Linked DNA regions of Danio rerio. The protein of the gene in region 1 purifies or fractionates together with the protein of each later gene. This does not show direct contact. Links are inferred from orthologs where the notes say so. Each region holds a gene or a part of one and is shown on either strand. Other genes may lie near its edges.

Region 1 (6,195 bases):
TCACAAATACTGCAGAAGACCTATTGGAACCAGCATGGACCCAAGATTCCTATAGAAATCAGTCAAGTTTGGTGAAGGAAAAATCATGGTTTGGGGTCACATTCAGTATGGGGGCGTGCGAGAGATCTGCAGAGTGGATGGCAACATCAACAGCCTGAGGTATCAAGACATTTGTGCTGCCCATTACATTACAAACCACAGGAGAGGGCAAATTCTTCAGCAGGATAGTGCTGCTTCTCATACTTCAGCCTCCACATCAAAGCTCCTGAAAGCAAAGAAGGTCAAGGTGCTCCAGGATTGGCCAGCCCAGTCACCAGACATGAACATTATTGAGCATGTCTGGGGTAAGATGAAGGAGGCATTGAAGATTAATCTAAATAATCTTGATGAACTCTGGGAGTCCTGCAGGAACGCTTTCTTTGCCATTCCAGATGACTTTATTAATCAGTGATTTGAGTCATTGCAGAGATGTATGGATGCAGTCCTCCAATCTCATGATGGAGTCAGACACAATAATCATTCTGTCTCCACTGCAGCATGACTTTATATTCTATACTGGACATTATTTCTGTTCAGTGACAAGACTTTTGTCTAAGCAAAGTCAGACCTTACTGCCCTAATGAAATCATTAAAAATCAAGACATGATCATATTTAATTTTGGTAAATAAGCGTAATCTAGAGGCCTTTACCTTTCATTTAAGCCACTTTTGATACCAAATGATCAGATAGAATAAGAATAGTCAAGTTATTATTTGTTGTTCCTAAAACTTGGACAAGCGACACGCCTTTTGTCAGGTAGTGTATATAAAGCCAGCTGCATTCTTAATGCAAAACCTTTTAAATTCAATAATTTACTAAAATCTTGGATAACCTGTGCAGAAAATATATGTATTGTTGTTCAAAGCTGAAAGAACAGATCCCTAAAATGCCTGTTTTATTCAATGTTTGACAATCTTAACTAATGTAAACGGGGCCGATGTGTCATTTGTCAATGCTCTTGTTGCTCTCACTCATTGGTGCAGGTCTGTTTGAAACCCGGCTCCAGTATGTTTCAGACAGCGCTCTGAGAGTGGTGTTCACCTGCCTCAAACCCTCCATTATCATGACCTACGACACACAGCAGTGCACACACACCGTCTGGAATCTGCGCAAAGTCACATCTGAGGTACGTTTAATGCAGTCTTCAGCCCAATTCACATTGCAATGACAGATGCCAACCAACAAATCATCGGAACTTCCAAAGTTTCCAGATATTGTGTTTAGTGTGCAATATAAGTTTTTGTGAAATGTTTTCAATGTTTAGAGTTGCAATGCATTGTGGGACTTCTCAGGACACTGAACGAATTTTCTGATTGAGACAGCAGTTAAAACGGCTGACTCCCTCATCAGTGCGCTGACTACTAAACAAGAGTGCTGATTGAGACACACTCCTAGACTTGTTTGGAGCCTAAAGCCCTGTGTGTGTGTTTTATTTCAGGAGCAGAACACTGTGTTAAAGTTTCCAGATCAGTCTGGACCGGCTCACACTCCTAATGCGGCTCCCAGTTTCCTCAGCACACACCTGAGAAACGTGAACCGGCTGGACTCTCCGGCTTCACCTTTACACTGCCATGCTCTTCACAACCAAAGCCGAATCCCAGCCTCCCCGGCCCTGCACTCTCGGGTTCACTCGCCCAGCATTTCCAACATGGCTGCTCTCAGGTATGACAATGCATCAATATTGGCTATGAATGGTGTTTTTTTACATATTGTGCACAGAAATCGCAATTCAAAAATTTTATTGAAAAAATATATAATCATAAATCAAAGAATATGAAAAATATAAAGCAGCACAATTGTTTTTTATTATATTATATTATATTATGTTATGTTATGTTATGTTATACTATATTATGTTATATTATGTTATATTATTTTATTTTACATCATCATATATTGTATAATATTGTATTATATTATTTCATATATTATATTATATTATATTATATTATATTATATTATATTATATTATATTATATTATATTATATTATATTATTTTATATATTTTTTATGTTAATTATATTATATTATTTTATGTTATATTATATTATAACATATTTAGTGCAAAACTAAAACAAAAAACTAATTAATCACACTTTTTTTTTTTTTTGCAATTAATCGCAATTAATCACATTTAAAAGACCGAAAGTTATAATTTTGGCTATAATTTTGAATTTTTTCAAATGTAAAATTAATGTAAACGCAAGACAAAAACTATTTAAATTCAAACTATAATTGTTCATTAGAATTTTTGTTTATTTTGTAACACCGATTTCTTCAACATACCCACAATAAACCATCAAGATTCTGGCTTGAGTGCCATATTTATTACAGAAATAAAAACTCAGGCATGTTAATGCCATTTGAATTGAAAAACAATGGCAATAACAAACAAAAATGATTTCCATGTTGGATTCAAAGTGAACTGCAGAAAATGTCAAAACACAGGCTTTGCAAATATAGAAAATTGTAATAATAATAAAGTATTGAATACAAACAGTTGCACTCATTGAAAAGTTGTATTGCTGTGTGTTGAGAACATTTATTATTAAGCAGAAACAATTTAGCTTAGTCCTCCTTTACATTCAGCCTGTTGCTGAGACAGTCCAGTCTGTTGACATTATCGGGGGACAATGTGGCCCTTTTGTTTTGAATGATGTGAGCCGAGAGTGAGAACAGGCAGGATTACTGAATCAGCATATGCATTCGGTACCTAATTTTGTGACCACTGGTGCTGCGAAAAGGACGTAAGAAGCATCAAGCGTTAGCCTACATCAAAGGGACAAACAGGTACGCGTTGTGCGCGCTTTGCTGTGACACACACACACACACACACACAAAACGTGCGCAGGACAGCGCAGCCGGAGCGACTCCCTTCAGATTCAACGCACATGATCGCGTTCATCAAATTTGCTTAAACTAAGCGTTCTAAAGTATGGCTGTATTTCATAAGGATTCTGACACATCAACGTGAAGCAGACGCTTTACAAAACTTGTGTTAAAGTGGGAAAAACTTAATGAAACATTGGAGGGCTCATGCTGAAAGGAAAAGGAATGCGCTGACTTTGACAGCTTGCAACATCATCTGGCCCTTTCTAAGTACCTTTACATGGACACCAATATTCCGATTTTAATATGACTAAGTTAGAACTCTTATTAGAAGTCTACCATGTAAACAGCAATTTTTGATAACCTTAAAGGGTGAAATGCGGAGGTTTTTATTTCCGTTCACCATGTGGTATCAAATTCCATTAAAACAAAAGTCGAAAGTTAAAAATGAAACATAGGATATTAGATGAAACTCTGGAGGAAACGCTGACTAGCCTGGTAAGTGCTTCCTTGGTCTTATTCATATTTCTTTGCATGTTGAACACACTTCGACCACAACAGGAAAAAAACTGCAACTGTGTTAATTACGTTAAATATTTCAAATTATTTGCATGCGTTAACGCACTTAATTTGACAGCACTAATTATATTGTATTATATTATATTATATTATATTATATTATATTATATTATATTATATTATATTATATTATATTAGATTATATTAGATTATATTAGATTACAGTATATTATGTTATATTATTTTACCTTATATTATAATGTATTATACTTTTTATTTTATTATGTTATTGTATTATGTTATGTTATATTATTTTGTTATATTATGTTATATTGTTATATTATGTTATGTTTTATTATATGGTTATTATGTTATATTGTTATATTATGTTATGTTTTATTATATTGTTATATTATGTTATATTGTTATATTATATTATATTTTATTATATTGTTATATTATGTTGTTAAATTATGTTATGTTTTATTATATTGTTATATTATGTTATGTCGTAAAAATATCTAAATTTAAATGTCTCATTTTTTTCCTTTTTCTTTTTAAACATTTTTATTTGCCTGACTTTCTAAAGTCGTGCTCATTCCCCTGGCATCGCCGTGCCCTCGTTCTCTGGGAATCAGCGTTTCAACATGTCATGCCACACGCCATCTTCGCGTGGCCACAGCATCCTGGCTTCACCCAACAGCACCCTGAATGACACCCTGCTGCCTGAGATGGAGCCCATCTTACCAGACCTCTGCATCGAGCAGCTGTGGACGGAAACCAGCGCCATCTCCAGGTCTGATGAGCTTCAGTGTGCTGTCAGAGAGTATTAAATTACCTTCTATGACTGTCCTGAATTCAATAACCATGTTTCCATCCACCTGTTTTTTTTTTTTTTTGCACATTTGACATATTGCATTAAAAAAAGATTAATGTTGGGGCAATAGCCTAGTGGTTCGCGCGATGATCTATGGTGCGGTAGCACTTCAGGCTGTCCAGAGTTCAAATCACGGCTCAAGGACATTTCCCGAACCTCAACCCCCTCCACAACAACCCCCCTCTCTCCCCCACTGCACTTCCAGTCTGATTACTGTCTTATCTAATAAAGGCAAAAAGGCCAATAATAAATCTTTTAAATAAAATGCTTAATGGAAACCATTAGATGTGCATACATTTTGAAAATGCGTATGAAAGAAAATGTATGCATGCACACTACTAAGTAGGATCAACTTTTTATTCGATAACCAAATACGAGCAAAAGCTTTGATGGAAACACATTTATGATCTTAAAAATGGGTGTGATGTATTAAGGTGTGAGGCATTAATGGTCAAACCAGTGGAGCGAGCACATTGTAGAACATCTGAAACATTGTTTTGGTCATTCTGAAATCCCTCAGCCAAAGTCTGTCATCACTGTGGTTCAGAATTATCATTGTCTTAGGCAAGGCAATTTTATTTTTATAGCCCATTTCATACACAGTGGCAGTTCAAAGTGCTTTACATAAACAGGAATAAAAAATAATAAAACCAACAAAACAAATAATATAAACAGATAAAAACAGTGTTAAGACAGTTTTTTCATACAAAACACTGGTGTATCATATTTTCCCATTTTATTTTCATTATACCTCTACATATTCCTCCAGAACTAATAATCGTAGGAACTAATTACTGATTTTGATTGTAATGCATTAATGTGCACCGTTTAAAAGCGGCTTTGGAACAGTAATTATTTTGATAAGCACTATACAAATAAATAGAATTAAATTGAAAGAACTAGAATATGGCTGGGGGAGAGGCAGTGGCGCAGTAGGTAGTGCTGTCGCCTCACAGCAAGAAGGTTGCTGGGTCACTGGTTCGAACCTTGGCTCAGTTGGTGTTTCTGTGTGGAGTTTGCATGTTCTCCCTGCCTTCGCGTGGGTTTCCTCCGGGTGCTCCGGTTTCCCCCACAGTCCAAAGACATGCAGTACAGGTGAATTGGGTAGGCTAAATTGTCCGTAGTGTATGAGTGTGTGTGTGAATGTGTGTGTGGATGTTTCCCAGAGATGGGTTGCGGCTGGAAGGGCATCCGCTGCGTAAAAACTTGCTGGATAAGTTGGCGGTTCATTCCACTGTGCCGACCCCAGATTAATAAAGGGACTAAGCCGACAAGAAAATGAATGAATGAATGAATGAATGAATAGGGCTGCACAATACTGGGGAAAAACTGATATTTAGTTTTTCTGTGATATGCATTGCTATCTAGGAACCACAGTCTAAAATAGATCCGATCAGATTTGTGGAGTCACTGCAGAGTTTAACCACAATGGAGTAACTGACTGCTGTGTGATCATTTTAGGACATTTTAAAGCAATTATCTTTCAGATGAGACGTTAAAAGGGGGTCCTGACTCTCTGTGGTCATTAAAAATCCCATGGCACTTCTCGTAAAGAGTAGGGGTGTAACCCCGGTGTCCTGGCCAAATTGTCTCAATTGGCTCTATCACTGTCTCTCCACTCCACCAATAGCTGGTGTGTGGTAAGCGCACTAGTGCCGTAGCTTTCGGCTGCCGTTGCATCATCCAATGGATTATAATTACAAATTACATTTTATTCCACCACAAGAAATCGTATGTAAAATGTATTTAATTGAATTATTTATACAGGGATGACTAAACCGTGTAATTTTATCACCATAAAGCACTGATTATTTCACTTTTGTCTTTATTCCTTCCTTAGAGAATCATCCCAATCAATCTAATTGAACAACTTTCTTACGAAAAGAGCTATTCAAGCCATCTGCTGAACTTGAATTCATATCACTATAA
Region 2 (6,369 bases), on another chromosome or scaffold:
TGAGTAGGATGTGTGTATTTTTGCCATCTCTGTCCATTTCATAAAAATAAATAATATTACAATAAAAAGTATGGTTAAATAACTGAAATGTGTTCTTAAACAAAAACGTGTGTAGCATGCAGTCAAAATAGCATTTATTATTTGAATGTCACGTTAATTTTCTTAAAATAACACATAAGGATGTGCATTATATCAACTAAAACAGAGTTTTTCTTTGTTATAGCAGGTGCAGCCAAACTGCGACACAACAGCCACGGAATTTACAGGGCCGTGAGAGATCACCTGTACGGTCTGGCGGTGGCAGACGCAGAGCGGAAAAACTATCTGATGCTTTTGTTGTTGTTAATGTTAAATTGACTAATACATGTTTTGTCATTACTTTTGTCTGCAAATATTAGGCTAATAAATAATATTTTTTAAACAAAATGTTGAATTTCTGAATCATGTGAATTTTCTAAAACGTTTATAAAGGTATTTCTCACAACCAAATTTCGACTTAAAATTGACGTATTTTTCGTTGTTTGGACGTCTTACAATTACGTCTTTTGGACGACATGAAAAAGACGTCTTTTCACGTTTCACTTTTCCACCTGTTTTCCACGTTGTTTGGACGCCTTACAATTACGTCTTTTCGACGACGTTAAAAAGACGTAGTTTCGTCTTTCACTTTCCCACCTGTTTTCCACGTTGTTTGGACGTCTGACAATGTCGTCTTTTCGACGTCTATTCGACGAACTATTGCTGGGTGGGGAGCTCATCTGTTTGTCGGAACTACTAGACACAATTTTTTTTATCAACTATAATGTGTTTAATTAGTTAATTTAAAATTCATTTCATTATTCCAGCAATAATTGTTGAGTGAAAGAATGCGCTAGAAATTTGCATTGCGGCTCCCTTTATTGTACAGGCTTATTGCACTTAAACTTTTTTAGGTTCGGCTCTCGAATTAGTAAGGTTATGAGTAAATGTTATTTAAAATATTTAAAGCCTGCCATCTAGCCTACAATAACAGCAAATTTAATAATAGAAAAAAATAATAAGACAGGCCTACTTTGGCGTTGCAATAAAATAGTATTAATTATCAAAAAAATAATTACAATATATAATTAAAATAGGAAGAAGTAAATGAAAACAAATGGTACCCTTTGTTTTTATAGCAGGGCCCAAAGTGTTCTTATTCTGGTTCTGCTAACAACTATTAAAAAGAAAAAAAACACACCAAACAATAAAAACACTAGTAACTGATATTAATAATAATAATAATTATTATTATTATAAAGCCCTATTATATTATTATAAAGATTGTTATGAAACAATCATGTAAACCAGGTGCTCCTCGGAAATGGCTATCTTTGCTCTGCATCAGGTGCACAGCAGCAAGAAGCTTGGCAGTGAACTATGACCTTATTTTAATGACAAATGTCTAAGAATACTGCTTTACGTTTTTATTTAATTTATACATACGCAATGAATGTAAGCCTGCTAACTGTGTGTGGTTCAAATGATAGAATATGTAAACTTAGTTAATATATAATTAAATAATAATAATTAAAAGCCTGCGTGTAAGGCTTTTATTTTGAGGGTGACGTCACGAGCGCAGATTTGGTTGACCAATTAGAGGAAAGTGGGCGTTTCAGCACCGCCTACATGTGTAAAATGAATTTTAAAGTCGTTTATCCGTTTTCCTACCCTAAACCAAAAAACGAAAATCCAGCCAAAATCTCGTTTTTTCGTTTTCTCGTGAGCAAAAGGAAAAACGGCCGTTTTCTCCATTTCCTTTATTCCGTTTGAAAATGGAAAACAAATGAACAAAACGTACACGGACCGTTCTAAAACAACAAGTTTTGTACATTTAGTTTTAAAGGTTTAACTAAATAAATCGATCAAAAACTTGAAGAAAAAAACTAAGGTTAATGAACATTTCAACCGTCTATGCCCTTAAATAGACAGTGAAAGAATAATTCAACTAATGCGATTATCAATTTAAAACTTGAAAAAATATAAAAACAGAAAAAACACACACGTTTATCCCTTTTTTCTCCCTTCACGCTTAAACTACATTTCCCATGATTCCTTCTGCTCTTTCTACGGTCTAAAGCGTGAATGATTACGGTAAGTGATGTGAGCTGAAATAGTCATCTTCTTTCAGTTTAGAATTGTTTGTCAATAGTTTGCCAAGCTTACTAAAATAAACGATCTTCACGGTTCATTATCCTGACGTTTGTCACTGTTTAAGACCCAGAATTTAGAGCTACTAGGCTAATTAGCATGTAGCTGCTAAACAATAACGTTATGGTGTTGAAGCAGGCGTCGCTGAATTTCTTGAAATTACGAAATACACAACACGACGGTAAACGTTCAAGTAAAGTGTACTGTGTATGCAGATATAATACTGCAATCATGGGCTTTTGCAACGTTAGGTTCCTTAAAACATAGCATTTGAGCTTTCTCAGAGTCAAAATATATATGAAGAGTTGAATAGAACTACCACAACTCAACTAGGTTAACCCATCGATTTCTAATGAACATACATTATATATGTAACGTTAACGTTAATAAGTGTGTAAATTAACTTAAGCAGCGCGTGTAACGTGTTTCCAGGCAACGAGAAGCCGGTGATGTGAAGATGCTGAGGAGGAAACCAACGCGCCTCGAGCTCAAGCTGGACGACACGGAGGAGTTTGAAAGTGTCAAGAAAGAGCTGGAGGTAAAATTTTGGACTTGTCATCGTGTCTTAAACATGTGTCATAAATAGTTGCTTCAATTTACTGTACACACATAAAGACATGTTCCTTCATCCCAGTGGGGACTCTCATAGACCCCTTAATGATGGTTCTACTGTACAAACAGTAGATTCTATCCCCCTACCCCTAAACACAACCCAATTTATCTGTACTGCATGTCTTTGGACTGTGGGGGAAACCGGAGCACCCGGAGGGAACCCACGCGAATGCAGGGAGAACATGCAAACTCCACACAGAAACGCCAACTGAACCATGGTTCGAACCAGCGACCTTCTTGCTGTGAGGCGACAGCACTAGGTCTGGTGCGACTGCTTCGTCCGAGGACAGGATTTTCCCGAATGTAATTCTATAAATTTGATGGGAGTAAACCCAATATAGAAATGTAAACAGAGATACGCTAGTGCTTGAGCCTACAAATGGACAAAGCAGTAAAATTAGTTATAAATCTTAGTGCAGCATGGTAAACAGTGTCCAGTGCATGCAGACTAGAAGACGAAGCATACATATAGATAACATCAGCGTAGTCCAATATCAACATAAATGTTGCATCAACCAGCTTTTTTGTAGCATCAAAAGTAAAGTTGTATTGGAGTTGTTCTACAGCTGATTTTGATAGACTACAGTTATGTGTTAGTAACCACAGCGAAAATATATTTCTGCTAAAAACATTATCAATTATGATTAAGTTATGATAATGATATTATTAGGTTATGAAAATGATACTTTAGTCCCTGCTCTCCCCTACTTAATTAAAATAAAGCAAAAATTCTTAGTCCACCACTGCAAATCAGTCAGTAATAGTGTGATTTCTTCATCATTCTTTTTCTCATTTAAAAGCAAGCATGTAAGCAAATCTTACAGAAAGTAAGAAGCTTTCTATAATCTCATGTTACTTTCCCCACATGTGTTAAGAGTCGGAAGAAACAGAGGGATGAGGTGGATGTCGTCGGTGTCGCCACATCCAGTGAGATGAGCGGAGCGGCAGGTGGCACTGCTGATGGGAAAACCAGAGAGCAGATGATTCACGAGAGAATTGGATACAAACCCCACCCCAAGCCTAACACGTTACCATCGCTCTTCGGAAACCTTCAGTTTTGACAAGTGCCAATCCTGAACAATGGACTATAAGGTCTTGAGAATCTGTAACACAGACACGTACGTGCACACAGAATATATTCTGCATCAATCTTGCCAGATTAGAAATGGACATAAAATTATGGCTTTGGTTAACGGTGTTTGTGATAACTGATTTCAAATGACTATTTTTCTATTGAAATAAATAAAGCCTTTCTAGTTGGATGTGGAAATGGTGTGTAAATGTGATATTGGCAGAATTATATTTTTGATAATACCGATTAGGGCGCAACGATTATAAATTTTGGTTGTACGATTATAGTATTAGAAATAATCACGTTTATCATGATTATTTGCATTCATTGATCCCAAAACCCCATTAGTTTATAAATAGTTTAAAACGGTTTTAAATTTTGTTTTATATATTGTGCCCAACTAAATATTTGTTGCTGGTTTAATCGTTTAATTTTATTTAAGTGCATATAAAAAATTCAGTGGATATTATTGATGCATTATTTGGTAAAACTGCTCATTCAATGTGTTTTTGGTCATTATCAATGCACCGGTAAAATAGACCCAGCGGCGAAACCACGACTGCTTGCATGATGCTCATGCCTCGTGTTGACGCACTGCTTCTGCATGCAGTATGAAAGCTCTAATCTGTTAACATGGATGCGAAAAAAAACACTCTCTGGTCATGCCTGCGGTGTGAAACAGGCTTGAGTCTTTCACCACTGTCTTTAAAAACATTCAGTTGATCCCAGCTGGGGATTCGCCACATGATTGCTCTCCACAACGCCATTATTTGTAACTTTAAGTGGGTTTGCCAATCTGTGTCCTTTCCAGTGCTTCTTCCTTAAACCGTTAGCCGTTTGCAATTCCCACGGTCACAAAAGCCCCCTGTCATCTCAACTAGGTGCACCTGAAAAGCACGAGTGTGTTGTGTTGCGTGCGCGTCCCTCCATTGAAAAAAACTAACTTGGACGAGCTTGCCTTAGTTAATAGCCCCAGTCATAGTGAGTAGAGTGCACTGCTTATTAGCCTTAATGTACAAACAAGTGCACAGTTGCCATAACAAGTTGCTGCAGTCTTGTTCCGTGCAGAAATGCAGTGTTGAGAAGCCCATACGTGACTAATTAAATCCCGGTTAATAGTGAAACCAGCTAATCGTTGCATCCCTAATACAGATTATACTACTAATATATATATATATATATATATATATATATATATATATATATATTAGGGATGCAACAATACAGTTAGCCCACGGTTCAATACATACCTCGGTTTTTTAACACTGTTTTCGGTTCGGTTTGGTTCTCATGGCTTAACACGTTTTTTTATTCTACAGGCAATAGGAACAGTAAGAGGTAAAGGAGAAAAAAATAAAAAAGATTTTTTGCAAAACTCATTTTGTTTTACTTAAAAGCCAAAAAAAGTACAGTAGTTCCTGGTGTATTGAATAAAAAAATGAACACTGAAATCTGACAGCTGCTGGTAGCCCATGTACAAACTGGGGAACACATAAAATCCTACACTTTGAAAATAAACATACATGGGAAGTAATAAAGATAAATTGGCCATTTCAAATAAACATATTTGTACTTAAGTAAACATAAATAAACCATCTTAATTATCTCGATGCTGAAAAATGCGAGACTGTAATCTGTAACATGGATCGAGTGCTTTTATATGATGACAAAAGCCCACATCTCCCATCACCATAAACGACTACAAATCTTTAGCAATAAACACCCGCACTGCCTTTGTTATTTATATGCGTCTCTCGGAACCAGTTGGGTATGTTGGCTTGAAAGATTCAGCGAGGGACTGTTGCTATTTGGAGGACTTTATTACCTTCTCTGCTATCCTGCCTTCATACAGTGATATTGCTGGGTGATGGTGCAGCAGATGTGCAGTCATGGTTATACGTGTAAAACAATGCTTTCACAGTTATTTTTTGTCACCGTTTTTTCTTTTATTGGCATTATACTTATCGGGAAAACCGAAATGTCCTCACACCGCAGATTTGTAAGACGCCTGCGCTTCCTCGTACTGTTGCTTCTCTTCGCCGGCGCTTCCTTGTACTGTTGCCTCAGCCTCACTTTACCGCTGCTCGCCATGTTAAAGTGTGGAATGATGGTCAAGAACCCCTAACTTTAAGACATAGTGATTGTATATATACTCGCGAGGAGGAGTTTCCTCATCTCAGCTCATGGACTTACAGGCACACACAGTCAATTCGGGGAGATATAAAACGCACACAAATTATTTAAACGCAAAACCGTGAAAACCGCAATTCACAAGCACGTATTGAACCGTGGAGGTCGTACCGAATGTATGTACAGGCTATATGACATAATACATTACTTGCCATACTTGCTCAACTACTTACTTTTTTGGGGGAGTAACTATTGTTATGCATTACTTTTAAAAGTAACTTTCCCCAACACTGGGTATAACACAACACTGAAATAAAAAATAAAAAGCACTGGAGATAAGAGAATGAAAACACTGACAGATTTTATTTTAGAAACCACCTAAAGTT

The links. Proteins that work in one complex are often made in the same cells at the same time.
Region 2: the proteins of anapc1 (region 1) and cdc26 purify together in Homo sapiens (co-immunoprecipitation; 6 studies listed by BioGRID and IntAct, with this or other methods). This does not show direct contact. The link is inferred for Danio rerio from reciprocal best matches to the Homo sapiens genes ANAPC1 and CDC26.

Annotation. Positions count from the first base shown.
Region 1 is NC_133188.1:50,722,414-50,728,608, forward strand, and holds part of anapc1 (anaphase-promoting complex subunit 1), read left to right. Parts: intron 1-1,023; coding exon 1,024-1,166; intron 1,167-1,478; coding exon 1,479-1,702; intron 1,703-3,978; coding exon 3,979-4,185; intron 4,186-6,195. UniProt on the Homo sapiens protein: Component of the anaphase promoting complex/cyclosome (APC/C), a cell cycle-regulated E3 ubiquitin ligase that controls progression through mitosis and the G1 phase of the cell cycle.
Region 2 is NC_133180.1:62,618,974-62,625,342, reverse strand, and holds cdc26 (anaphase-promoting complex subunit CDC26), read left to right. Parts: upstream 1-2,052; 5' UTR 2,053-2,112; intron 2,113-2,601; 5' UTR 2,602-2,626; coding exon 2,627-2,707; intron 2,708-3,656; coding exon 3,657-3,842; 3' UTR 3,843-4,051; downstream 4,052-6,369. UniProt on the Homo sapiens protein: Component of the anaphase promoting complex/cyclosome (APC/C), a cell cycle-regulated E3 ubiquitin ligase that controls progression through mitosis and the G1 phase of the cell cycle.